Saccharomyces cerevisiae S288C: one gene and its partners. The gene in region 1 interacts genetically with each later gene. Each region holds a gene or a part of one and is shown in the gene's direction. Other genes may lie near its edges.

Region 1 (3,758 bases):
AGGCTCAGGATCATTTTCGCACGCTTTTGCAAGATCTGTAGGTCATCTTTTTAGTTTTGAATTTCATCACATAAGATACGAACAAGCATTAGAGGAATTCAAAGAGCATGGACTTATTGATGATAACGTTACGATTACACATCGGGATGTTTGCCAAGGTGGATTTCTTATAAAGAAGGGAGACACTACATCTTACGAATTTGGCAATAATGAAACCGCCGCTTCATTGAATGCAAATGTAGTGTTTTTAGATCTGCCGGCTCCCTGGGATGCTATACCTCATCTGGATTCTGTTATTTCCGTAGACGAAAAGGTCGGATTGTGTTGCTTCTCCCCATGCATTGAGCAAGTAGACAAAACATTGGATGTATTAGAGAAATATGGCTGGACGGATGTTGAAATGGTGGAAATTCAAGGTAGACAGTACGAAAGTCGAAGACAAATGGTCAGATCACTCAATGATGCCCTGGAAAGGTTGAGAGATATTAAGAGGCACAAACTCCAGGGTGTAGAAAGACGCAAGCGGATGTTTAACAATACAATAGATTCTAACGATGAAAAAGTTGGAAAAAGAAACGAGGATGGCGTACCATTAACAGAAAAGGCCAAATTTAATCCTTTTGGCAAAGGTTCTCGAATCAAGGAAGGTGATAGTAATTATAAATGGAAGGAGGTCACAAAGATGGAAGCTGAGATCAAATCCCATACCTCATATTTGACTTTTGCATTTAAAGTTGTGAATAGATCAAGAGATGATGAAAAAGTTAACGAAATTCTTCGATCCACGGAAAAATAATTAAATGATTAACTACTTATATACTTAAATTATATGTTTTTGAAATTTTTAATATGTAAAGCAAATCTGTACGAATAAAGGCTTTTTTCATATTTTATTTGCCTCAATGAAATAAATCGTCTCTTCTCTGGTTCCATAAGGGCATTTTGTTCCTTATTTCTTGCAAAAGCTCACGATCCAAATCAGCGAGAATTAGTTGTGGTCCAACAGTAGAGGGATCGGCATGCGCTATTATTTTACCCCAAGGATCAATGACCATTGAGTGTCCCCAAGATTCTCTCCTGGAGCTTTTTTCGAGAGCGCTCATATGTGATTGTTTCTCCCACTCTGGATCACTGAGATCGTGCATTCCAACCTGCCCTGGCATGAGCACATAGCATTGAGTGTCAACCGCTCTTGCTCTGCCTAGTAACTCCCAATGTGCTTCCCCTGTTTTAATAGTGAACGCACTGGGAAAACATAAGATTTCAGCCCCCATTGATCGTAATTTCAAAGAAAATTCGGGAAAGCGAATATCATAACAAATGGCACTGCCCAATTTTCCCAATGGAGACTCTATAATGTCAGGAATGGCTTTGCCAGGCTGGACAGATTTTGATTCTTTCAATATCGGTCCATTTGGCACGTCTACGTCAAACAAATGCAGTTTTTGGTATTCTTGCAATATTTTCCCTTCATGATCGATATATAATAGAACGTTTCTGACTCGATCATTGCCTTCAAGTAAATCTTGTTCTGAGGGCGGCAAGTGTACCCCAATGGAAACATCTATATTCCGTGAATTATCTCTGACAAGGTCGGTAATGCTTGACTGTAATTGCCGAATAAATTTGGGGCTTTTCTGTGCCAAATACCTGGAATGAAGAGGGTTTTGAGAAAGATAGTCACTTGCCTCAGGGAGAAAAACGACATCCGCCTTTTTTTGAATGGCTTCAGATATCAATTCTTTTACCACTTTTAAGTTTTTGGTCAGGTCAGCGGATGAACATAATTGTGCGACAGCAACCCGTTTTAATTTACTAGTCATTTGCGGTGTTATATTTTATGAAGGAGACTTCATGATGGGTATGAATTTTATTTCACCTCTATTCATTTACTTCTAATGGCCTAGAATCTAGTAAGCTCTGAAAATTCGAGATGCGGATCGTGAGCTAAAATAATAAAAAAATGAAAAATATAAAAGAGCAAAATTCATTACATTGGCGTTAGTTCACTGCTCGGGGGATGAGTAAAAAGTGTACCGATCAAGAACAACTCTAGACTTCCGCCAAAGTGATTATCAACAAAAATCGTAATAATTAGCTTCAATGCTAAATCAGCACACAAGTTCAGTACCGGATGACGAACATCTGCAGATGGCACACCAAAATAGCAGTTCAGAAGTGAGAAATGAGGCAGCGGTCCCAGATCAACTTTTGACTCCTTTACAACCGTATACCATTTTATTGAAAGATGGAGAAACAATAGCTACGATGTATCCTATACCTGCGTATCCTGATTTATTGCCGCTAGGGCTCTTAAATTTCCTTCTAGATGAATTTAACATGGAAGTGGAAAAGGGAGATAGTTTTCCTTATTACGAGACTTTATCACTAGAAGAATTCAAAAATGTCTGGTTTCATAATGATGGTCACGTTTGTATTATGGTGTTAGGCGAAATACCAGAACTGGATTATAGTATGGATACTGAAGCGGACACAAATGATAATTTTGGAACAGAAATAGAAACCACGAAGCACACCACCCAATATAAGAAACGAAAAGAACGTCGCAATTTAAATCTAAGTATGCAGTGGGAGAAGCAATGTCTAGGCATATTTGACCTCAAACCAGCATACCCTGGACGGTCAGCGCATGTGGTCACAGGAACATTTCTGGTCAATGCTGGTATTCGTGGAAAAGGTATTGGGAAAACACTAATGGAAACATTCATAGAATGGTCAAAGAAATTAGGATTTACGTCCTCCTTTTTCCCGTTAATTTACGGAACGAACGTAGGAATCAGAAGAATTTTGGAAGGATTGAACTTTAGGCGGATTGGAAAGCTGCCTGAAGCCGGGATTCTCAAGGGCTTTGATGTCCCAGTAGATTCTTTCATGTATGGTAAAGAGTTCACACATATTACGAAAAGTATAGATTTGTTACGAGATCCTCAAAAGAGTATCGAAATTGGGAAATATGAACGATTAAAGCATTTTCTGGAAACAGGCAAGTATCCTTTACATTGTGATAGAAACGAAAAGGCTAGATTAAGAGTACTTTCCAAAACTCATTCGGTATTGAATGGCAAGTTGATGACAAAAGGAAAAGAAATCATTTATGACACGGATCAACAAATCCAGATTGCATTAGAGATACATTTAATGGAACATTTAGGCATCAACAAGGTGACCTCCAAAATTGGTGAAAAATACCATTGGAGAGGAATCAAGAGTACTGTTTCGGAGGTAATCTCTCGGTGCCAAAAATGCAAGATGAGGTACAAAGACGGGACAGGGGTAATAATTGAACAAAAGAGAGCAGTTAAGCAGGCGCATATGCTACCGACGCAGCATATAGAAACTATCAACAATCCAAGAAAAAGCAAGAAGCATGATAATGCGTTATTGGGACAGGCAATAAATTTCCCTCAAAATATTATTTCCAGTACGCTGAATGATGTGGAGGGTGAACCCACTCCGCCAGACACTAATATCGTACAACCCACATTCCAGAACGCCACGAATAGTCCCGCAACAACAGCTGAAGCCAACGAAGCGAATAAAAGATCCGAGTTTCTTTCCTCAATACAGAGCACGCCACTATTGGACGACGAACAGTCAATGAATTCCTTCAATAGATTCGTGGAGGAAGAAAACTCAAGAAAAAGACGAAAATACTTGGATGTTGCCTCCAACGGAATTGTACCCCATTTAACGAATAACGAATCGCAGGATCACGCGAACCCCGTCAACCGTGATGA
Region 2 (3,758 bases), on another chromosome or scaffold:
TAATCTTGGATCGTGAATTCTTGTTGAGCCACCACCAAGTTCCACACCGTTAACTACGAGGTCATAATGCCGACCCAAGCACTTTTCCGGCGTCTTTTCTAATTTTTCGTAGTCTTTAAGCTTCACCATAGTAAAAGGATGATGCGTGGAACATAGTCTATCCTTTTCGTACTCCGGATATGCAAGCTTTTCTTTTTTACCAGACTTATCTTCAATTATAACGGGAGAAAATAACGGGAAATCCACAATCCATGAGGCAACATCCTTATTGACAGCATGATAGATATTTTTCCCATGCTCACTTTGTAGCACCAACTGTCTCAATCTTCCCAGGGGAGTAGGATTCTCGAAAATGGAATGGTTTGGCTCTCTCGTACAACCGCATACAATGTCACCTTTTTTCAGTTTCAGAAATTTGGTTATTAGATGTGGGTTTTCAAACGTGGCAATTGCATGAAAATTCTCAAACCAATTTGAATTAGCTTGTTCGTCATTTTCAATTGGTAGCACTATTGGAACTCTATAATTGTAATTACTGTTATTTGTCAGAAACGACCATCGTTCTTTGTACTCTTCCATATTTGAAAAGGCACTTCTTAGAATAATTACTTCAAAAACGGGAAATTTTTTGTTCAAATGACTAAAGGCATTGAACTCGCCTAAATTGATAATCTTCAAATCTGGCGCTCTCAAATCTGGCTTGTCAATACCATATGAGGTCATGGCTTGTTCGTAGGTCATACGAAAGATAGATACTGTGCCGTTTTCCTTTTTCGCAGGCACTAATGTACCCTTACTGTCTAAAGTCAATAATCCTCGTTTTTTGGAAAATTTACTCCATACCCCAGAAACTGTCTTTTCTATGATTTTCATGACATCTTCAGAATTAGCAAAGGCCATTTCCATATCAACCTGTGTAAACTCAGGCTGCCTGTCTGCTCTTAAATCTTCATCTCTAAAGCACCTTGCCATTTGATAATATTTGTTGACACCACTAGCCATTAAGAGTTGCTTGTATTGTTGAGGGCTCTGATCTAGAGCATAAAACGATGGTTTACCATCGGATCTCTTTGTCCTTGTTGGAACCAGAAACTCTCTTGCGCCTTCTGGGGTAGCTTTAAATAACATTGGGGTCTCGACCTCCGTAAAATCAAAATTGTTGAAGGAGTTTCTTATTTCCTTAGAGATAGATGACCTCTTCTTTAAAAAATCTTGATATTTGGGATTTCTCAATTGCAAATAGCGGAACTCAGGTGGGTATATGGCTGACAATTTAAAATCCTGCATTTGCGCTGGTTTTTTATTAGATGCATTTAACACAGTAATATCCTCCAATTGCACTTCGTACTCATCTGCGTCCTCATTTGATAGCTTCCTCTTCAAAGAGAGTATACCTACGGCTTGAACCACATCCTCTAAAGTAAAGCCTTTCAACAACGATTTGTTATCAACCAACTGGATAATGTCACCGTTAGAGTCCCTTAAAAGTCCGAAGATCAAATTTTTCCCAACTCTTTTTGGCTTCTGCTCTATCCATCCATTGAGTACTATTTTCTGGCCGCTAGACAGTCCTTTTAACTGTTTGATGGTCGAGGTGTCCTTCCTAAAGAGAAATTTTTTCTTAATAGCATTGGCTTCTGGAAAGTCTGCCAACCGTCTAGTGATTGTCTGCAAGCACACCCTGGAACGGGCCAACATGATTAAAACTTGTAATGTTTAGTCTTTTCAAAAAAGCATGCACTCAACTGAATCAAAATGTTAAGAAAACATGAATAATGAATAAATGAGGCATTCAATGCCATCTATTACTTCCTACTCCCATTTTCACCTTATTATTGTACTTTGGTACGGCAGTAGCTTTCTGAAATTTCATCTACCAAACTTTGCAAGCACGAAAAAGAAAGCAAAACATTTCATTTACCATGGACGCATGGAGAAGGTCGATTTTGCCACAGCTTGCACAAGATTGGCAGTGGCAGTAAGTGATGAATCCTATCAACTCTCTAGCGTTTGACCTTCACAGTGTTAAACTTGCAGACGCGAACTCAGACACTGCTGCATTATCAAATAGCAATACTCCAACCATGAACAATGCGGCTCTTTTGCAAAGGCCCTCCTCCATTATGGATTCTATTGGCGTCCAAAGAGTTCCATCTCCTTTTGTGCCAGGGAGTAATGCGATTAGTGGAGCCAGTACTGTTCCCTTCAATGCATATGACGCTGAAATTACTGGATCTCCGCTACAAATATCTGCTAATCAGGAAAACAATAGTGCATTTAGTGCAGCATCATCCAACCTGCATATGAACGCCAGCAGCCCTTCCGTTCTCAATAAACCCTCGAGCACATTTCCAAATGTAGCTCCTTATCTCTACAACGCAACAGGGCCTGCCCCCAACGTTGGTAATCAACCCCCACCACCGGGGATAGAATCTCAGTGGAAATACATTGACTCTAATGGTAACATTCAGGGGCCTTTTGGTACCAATAATATGTCACAGTGGTATCAAGGAGGTTATTTTACTCCAACTTTGCAAATCTGTAGATTAGCAACATCTCCTGAGCCATTTGGTGTAAATGATCGGTTTATTAGACTAGGTGAATTGACTACTCTGGTGAATAATTATCAAGACCCTTTTGTCGCCTTTGATTTCATTGTTATTAGAGCTTTGAATGCTGTTCCACTTGTTGCACCAACTTCATCAGAAAAGCAAAAAGTTGAGTCAAGAGATTTGATACCTGTTGCTGATGTGCATAGTGATGATTTTACGTATGAAGAAATCCTTGGCCTTAAATTTGAAGATGGAAGTTACTATCATGAAACTCAGGTTTGGGTTCCGGTTGACGGCCGTCATATCACAAAGGTAGATCGCATACCAAAGATATCTGCATATACCGCTCCTCTATCCACGACTTCTAGTAGATCTAATAAAACCACTTCTTCCCATGAAGAGAAGGTTCCTTCCCACGAGGAAGCTTCTCCAGAGGAGCAAGAGGTTTTTTCAGAAGAGGGCAGAACTGTTTCTAACATAACAAATGAAGAGGAATCTATTGTCAAAAATCCTACTAAGCAGGAGGAAGAATCTCGAGGAAGCGAGAAAGAGCAAAATATATTGGATCAAGTTCAACCAGAGATTGAAGAGGTAGACCGTAAGGATGTAATATCCACTGCTGATGAGCCGAAAAGCAAAGATACGCCGCAAATGACTTCTGAAGAGCAGAAAAGGTTTGCAAAGGCAGAACTGATGGCACAAAAATTATTGGAAGAACAACAAAGACAAGAAGAAGAAAAAAAGAGAAGAGAAGAACAGCGCAAATTAAAGAAGGAGAAAAAATTGAAGCAAAAGCAGAAAAAGGAAGAAGAGAAGTTAAAAAAGAAGAAGAAGGAAGAAGGAAAATTAGAGAAAGAAAAGCAAAAAGAATTGCTAAATAACATTTTAACTGGAGATACAGAAACTCCATCTTCCGAAAACACCGCAACTTCCATAACCACTAATTTGGCGCCTTGGGCTAACAAGAAACCCGAGGGTGCTGTTTATAATCAGATTTCATCTGCTCTTGAAGATTTGAAGAAGGAGAACTCGTCCAAGAAAGAAAAAAAACCTAATCGTACTCAGTTAGATCGTGAGCAGGCATTAAAACTACAGAAAGAAATATTAAGCTCGGCGCAAATTCCGAAAACTCAAACTGGTTCTGCCTGGGGTATAAAGCCACAGCAACCGATCAAAGTTGATATTAAAGGAGAATTGATGAAAGAC
Region 3 (3,758 bases), on another chromosome or scaffold:
CTTCGATCTTCACAGCAAACCCGCACACGGCCCTGGCGTTCTTAACTGCGTTTGTTATAGAACCAGTAGCCCAAATATGATTATCTTTGAGCATGACCATAGAGGAAAGGTCGTATCTGTGCGTGTCGCAGCCACCTACAAGCATGGAATACTTTTCTAATCTACGTAAACCTGGTGTAGTCTTTCTTGTCCCCGCAATGGTCCCCTTGTAACCAGTCGAACGCGCCAAACTGATTATCTTATGTGAGGCGGTGGCAATTCCACTACTTCTACTAAGGATGTTCAAGGCGGTTCTTTCAGCTAATAGAATGTTTTTAGCGGGCCCAGTAATTTTAGCTACAACAATCTTACCAGAGTCATTCTTCGAAGGCTCCAAGAAGGAGCCTTCCTTAAACAACCACTCAACTTGCAATTCGCACTGATTAAAGACTTCTTGCGCAAAGGGGACACCACACAGCATACCATCCTGCTTACAGTACAAATTGGCCTCCTTTAGGTCGGAACCAACAACATATCCACCAAAATCAAAAGAAGGAACGTCCTCGCTCAGCCAATTGGTGACGTCTTGTCTCCATGCTCCATTAACGGGCAATAAGTGTTCATAAACAGGCATTTTTTTTTTTTGGTGTGTGTTCTTTCTGAGGATTGCGTTCTTTTTGTTGCGTTATTAAGTGGTGTCTTTAATTTTCGAATTTATGGCCCAAGATATACGAAAACTGCGGTAGGAGTCATGATAAATGGGGGCTCTTCAACCAACCGGCGTCACCAAAAGCAAAAATATCCTGGAGCGAAATATCACATTGTTTGTAACCAAGCTTGTACCTTTGACAAGTTAACTTACGTCTTGCCGGGGTTTGCTACTACGCATTCAAGTATATAAAACGTTGTGACACACAAGTTGATAGAAACCTCAGGATGTATAACTACAATTCTAGTTTCCATCTCATTAGTCCCAAATGACAATAAAAAAAATTACTGGCCATGGAAGATGACAAGCCGAATATTAGCTCCTTCGATCGAACTGTGCGTGGAGAAGAAGCTACTACTATTTAATAATTAGTATCCCGTGATTTTGAGCTGTCGCTGGCATTATGTACCTGACATTAGGTATTTAGGAAAGGTAGGGTAGATCAGTTTAGTACCTCAATGGGTGCGGAAGGTTAATCTTGAAAAATTTGCGATTAGTAGACAAGTTTATTCTCACAAGAACAAAATATTCAGTTCATTTCAGATATGATCGTGAAGGTGGAAATCTTTTTTTTAAAAATGAGAAGTGTGCCCAACAAAGAAGTAAAAGACAAGTTAGCTTTCTGTCATGCTTGAAAACTTTATGGAAGCCTGTGCATTGGCATTAGAGGCATCTCCGACAATCAGAAGAACACTTCTTGTTATTATAATTACCCATATATTTTTTTTTTTTTCAAATTGACTACTAGGAAAAAGTGACAATTTATAGTAAAACTGGCTAGAAAAACCTACAAGAAAAACAAAACCAGGTTAGGCATACATTAATACAAGATTATATCAATCGGAAGTTCGTATGCAAAATTGCATATGGAGCAAAGGAAAGGACTTCCATTTAAGACGACAGTATGAGTTATAAGGCTAACCAACCATCTCCTGGGGAGATGCCGAAAAGGTCACCTTCCATCCTGGTGACAGATGCAAGAACATCCAAGAATAGAATGAGTGCACCGTTCGCTGGACACGCTGCTGGTAGTAGGAAGAATATGGAAAACGCAGGAGTTACGAAGTCTCAAGGAGTTCGCTCTTCCGCTATTGGCCCTTCTCCGCTGCAGAGTTTTACTCATCCAAGAAGGCGATCGTCTGGCAGGTTTAGCGATATATCCATAGATAATATTCTTTCTGATAATTCAGATATTCCCTCTGCCAGAAGAGAGGAAAGGCTATCCAGCTCTTCAAGCGATAGGCCTCGCCAATATGAGCGGTTAAGTTCGCGTAGAAAGATGATCAATCCCCTGCCTCCAAGAACATCGAAGACGTCACAAAAGTTAGTGTTGATACCGGAAGACGACAACTTGAACCACTTTCAAACTCTACCAACGAACGCGCTGGATAGGCAAAGACCGAAAGTGGGCTCTATGAAGTCTAATTCCTTCGATCGGCTACCTCGATACTCAAAAGAAAAGTCCATGGCAAGAATCACCGCATATAATGTTGCTGATGGCTTCAATCTCAACCAATTGTATAAGTTTCTGCAGGAAACTCATGAGGTTTCACCAAGATTGTATGATGAGTGTCTATACGTTGCGTATACTTTGCCACTTCTACCAGGTAAAGGCGGTTTTAGAATCAAATCAAATTTATCTAAGAAAACAATGGGTGGAAAGACATTAATTGATAATTTAATTGATACAAGCGAACAGAGAGATCATCATTATGAATATTACTCAGGTGTGGAAACTGTGGAAGATGCAAATAATAATTACGAACTAGAAACCAGTGGAAATAACAATAACGCTAATCAAGACACCACAACAGTTCCCGATCATCTACCAAATCCAGTTGGTCAGCAAGACTCTTTTAATCCTATGGAACCACAATTTTTTGCGGAAGAAACTCCCTTAGAGATAGAGAAACGGGAAAGGACAGAAAGAATAAACATGCTGAAGAAGGAGGAAAACGACAGTGATGCAAGTTGTGGCAACGATAATAATAATAAAAATAATGATAAGAGTAAACTTTATGCTGTTGAGGGAAACGATCAGTATGTACAGTCCTCTCGTTCACCAGCTTCGCCATCATCAATATCTACGCCATCGCCACCATCTTCATCACAGAATGATTTTGATCGTGTATATAAAATGCATAGGGACAACGACCATGAAGGCAATGATAGACATGCAGAAATTTTCATTTTTCACTATGGCGTTATTGTTTTTTGGAACTTTACTGAAATTCAAGAGAAAAATATTCTTGGTGATATAACATTTGCAGATTATAAGAATTTAATGATCCGGCCGCTGGATGAACAAGATATTGAAACTGAACAATTCCATTTCGAATATGACAGAGATACCGAGAGACCGAGAATTTTCAATGATATTGTCACATTACGTTCAGGTGACCACATTATCGAGCTGACACTATCACATGCGATTGCGCAATCTTCGAAATTATCAAGGTTTGAATCCAGAATTTCGCCGATTTTAATATCAGTCACAAAACTACCTAAAAGACTAGCATTATATGGTACCCTTGGGTTAAAAAGGGAACAGCTTTTGAAAAAATCAGGGAAGCTCTTTAAATTGAGAGTGGATGTTAACCTTTCATCCACCATATTGGATACACCCGAGTTTTTTTGGTCGTTCGAACCAAGTTTGCATCCACTGTACGTGGCAATGAGGGAGTATTTAGAAATTGACCAAAGAGTACAAGTATTAAATGATCGTTGCAAAGTTTTCTTGGAATTCTTTGATATATGCGTTGACTCTGTTGCTGAAAGAAACATGGCTCGTGTTACATGGTGGTTTATTCTTGTCATTTTATTTGGAGTTATATTTTCATTAACAGAGATTTTCGTTCGTTATGTAATTATTCATCGTCATACTTCTACATAGATATTCATACACCCTTCTAGACGGCATTAAAAATAAATTAATGATATATTTAGTTATCAAGGTTTTTAGTCATATATTTCACCGTTATTACCATTCTTGGTCACGTGCAAGTAAAACCACTCGTTGATTGGCTCCCCTCAAGATTGCATTAAAAGTACAATAATATGACTAAGGGAC

The links.
Region 2: of SPT10 (region 1) and SYH1, a mutation in one rescues a mutant of the other (synthetic rescue), as found in Saccharomyces cerevisiae (one study listed by BioGRID).
Region 3: mutations in SPT10 (region 1) and RMD8 are lethal when combined (synthetic lethality), as found in Saccharomyces cerevisiae (one study listed by BioGRID).

The regions. Positions count from the first base shown.
Region 1 is NC_001142.9:182,566-186,323, reverse strand, and holds the start of SPT10 (Spt10p), read left to right. Parts: upstream 1-2,103; coding exon 2,104-3,758. Other genes in the region: tRNA 1-methyladenosine methyltransferase subunit GCD14, read left to right, coding at 1-796; NIT2 (putative hydrolase), read right to left, coding at 900-1,823. UniProt on the Saccharomyces cerevisiae protein: Required for normal transcription at a number of loci in yeast. Affects transcription at Ty1 elements, at PHO5, STE6 and ADH2.
Region 2 is NC_001148.4:353,640-357,397, reverse strand, and holds the start of SYH1 (Syh1p), read left to right. Parts: upstream 1-1,985; coding exon 1,986-3,758. Other genes in the region: aspartate--tRNA ligase MSD1, read right to left, coding at 1-1,698.
Region 3 is NC_001138.5:244,554-248,311, forward strand, and holds RMD8 (Rmd8p), read left to right. Parts: upstream 1-1,592; coding exon 1,593-3,581; downstream 3,582-3,758. Other genes in the region: BNA6 (nicotinate-nucleotide diphosphorylase (carboxylating)), read right to left, coding at 1-613. UniProt on the Saccharomyces cerevisiae protein: Required for sporulation.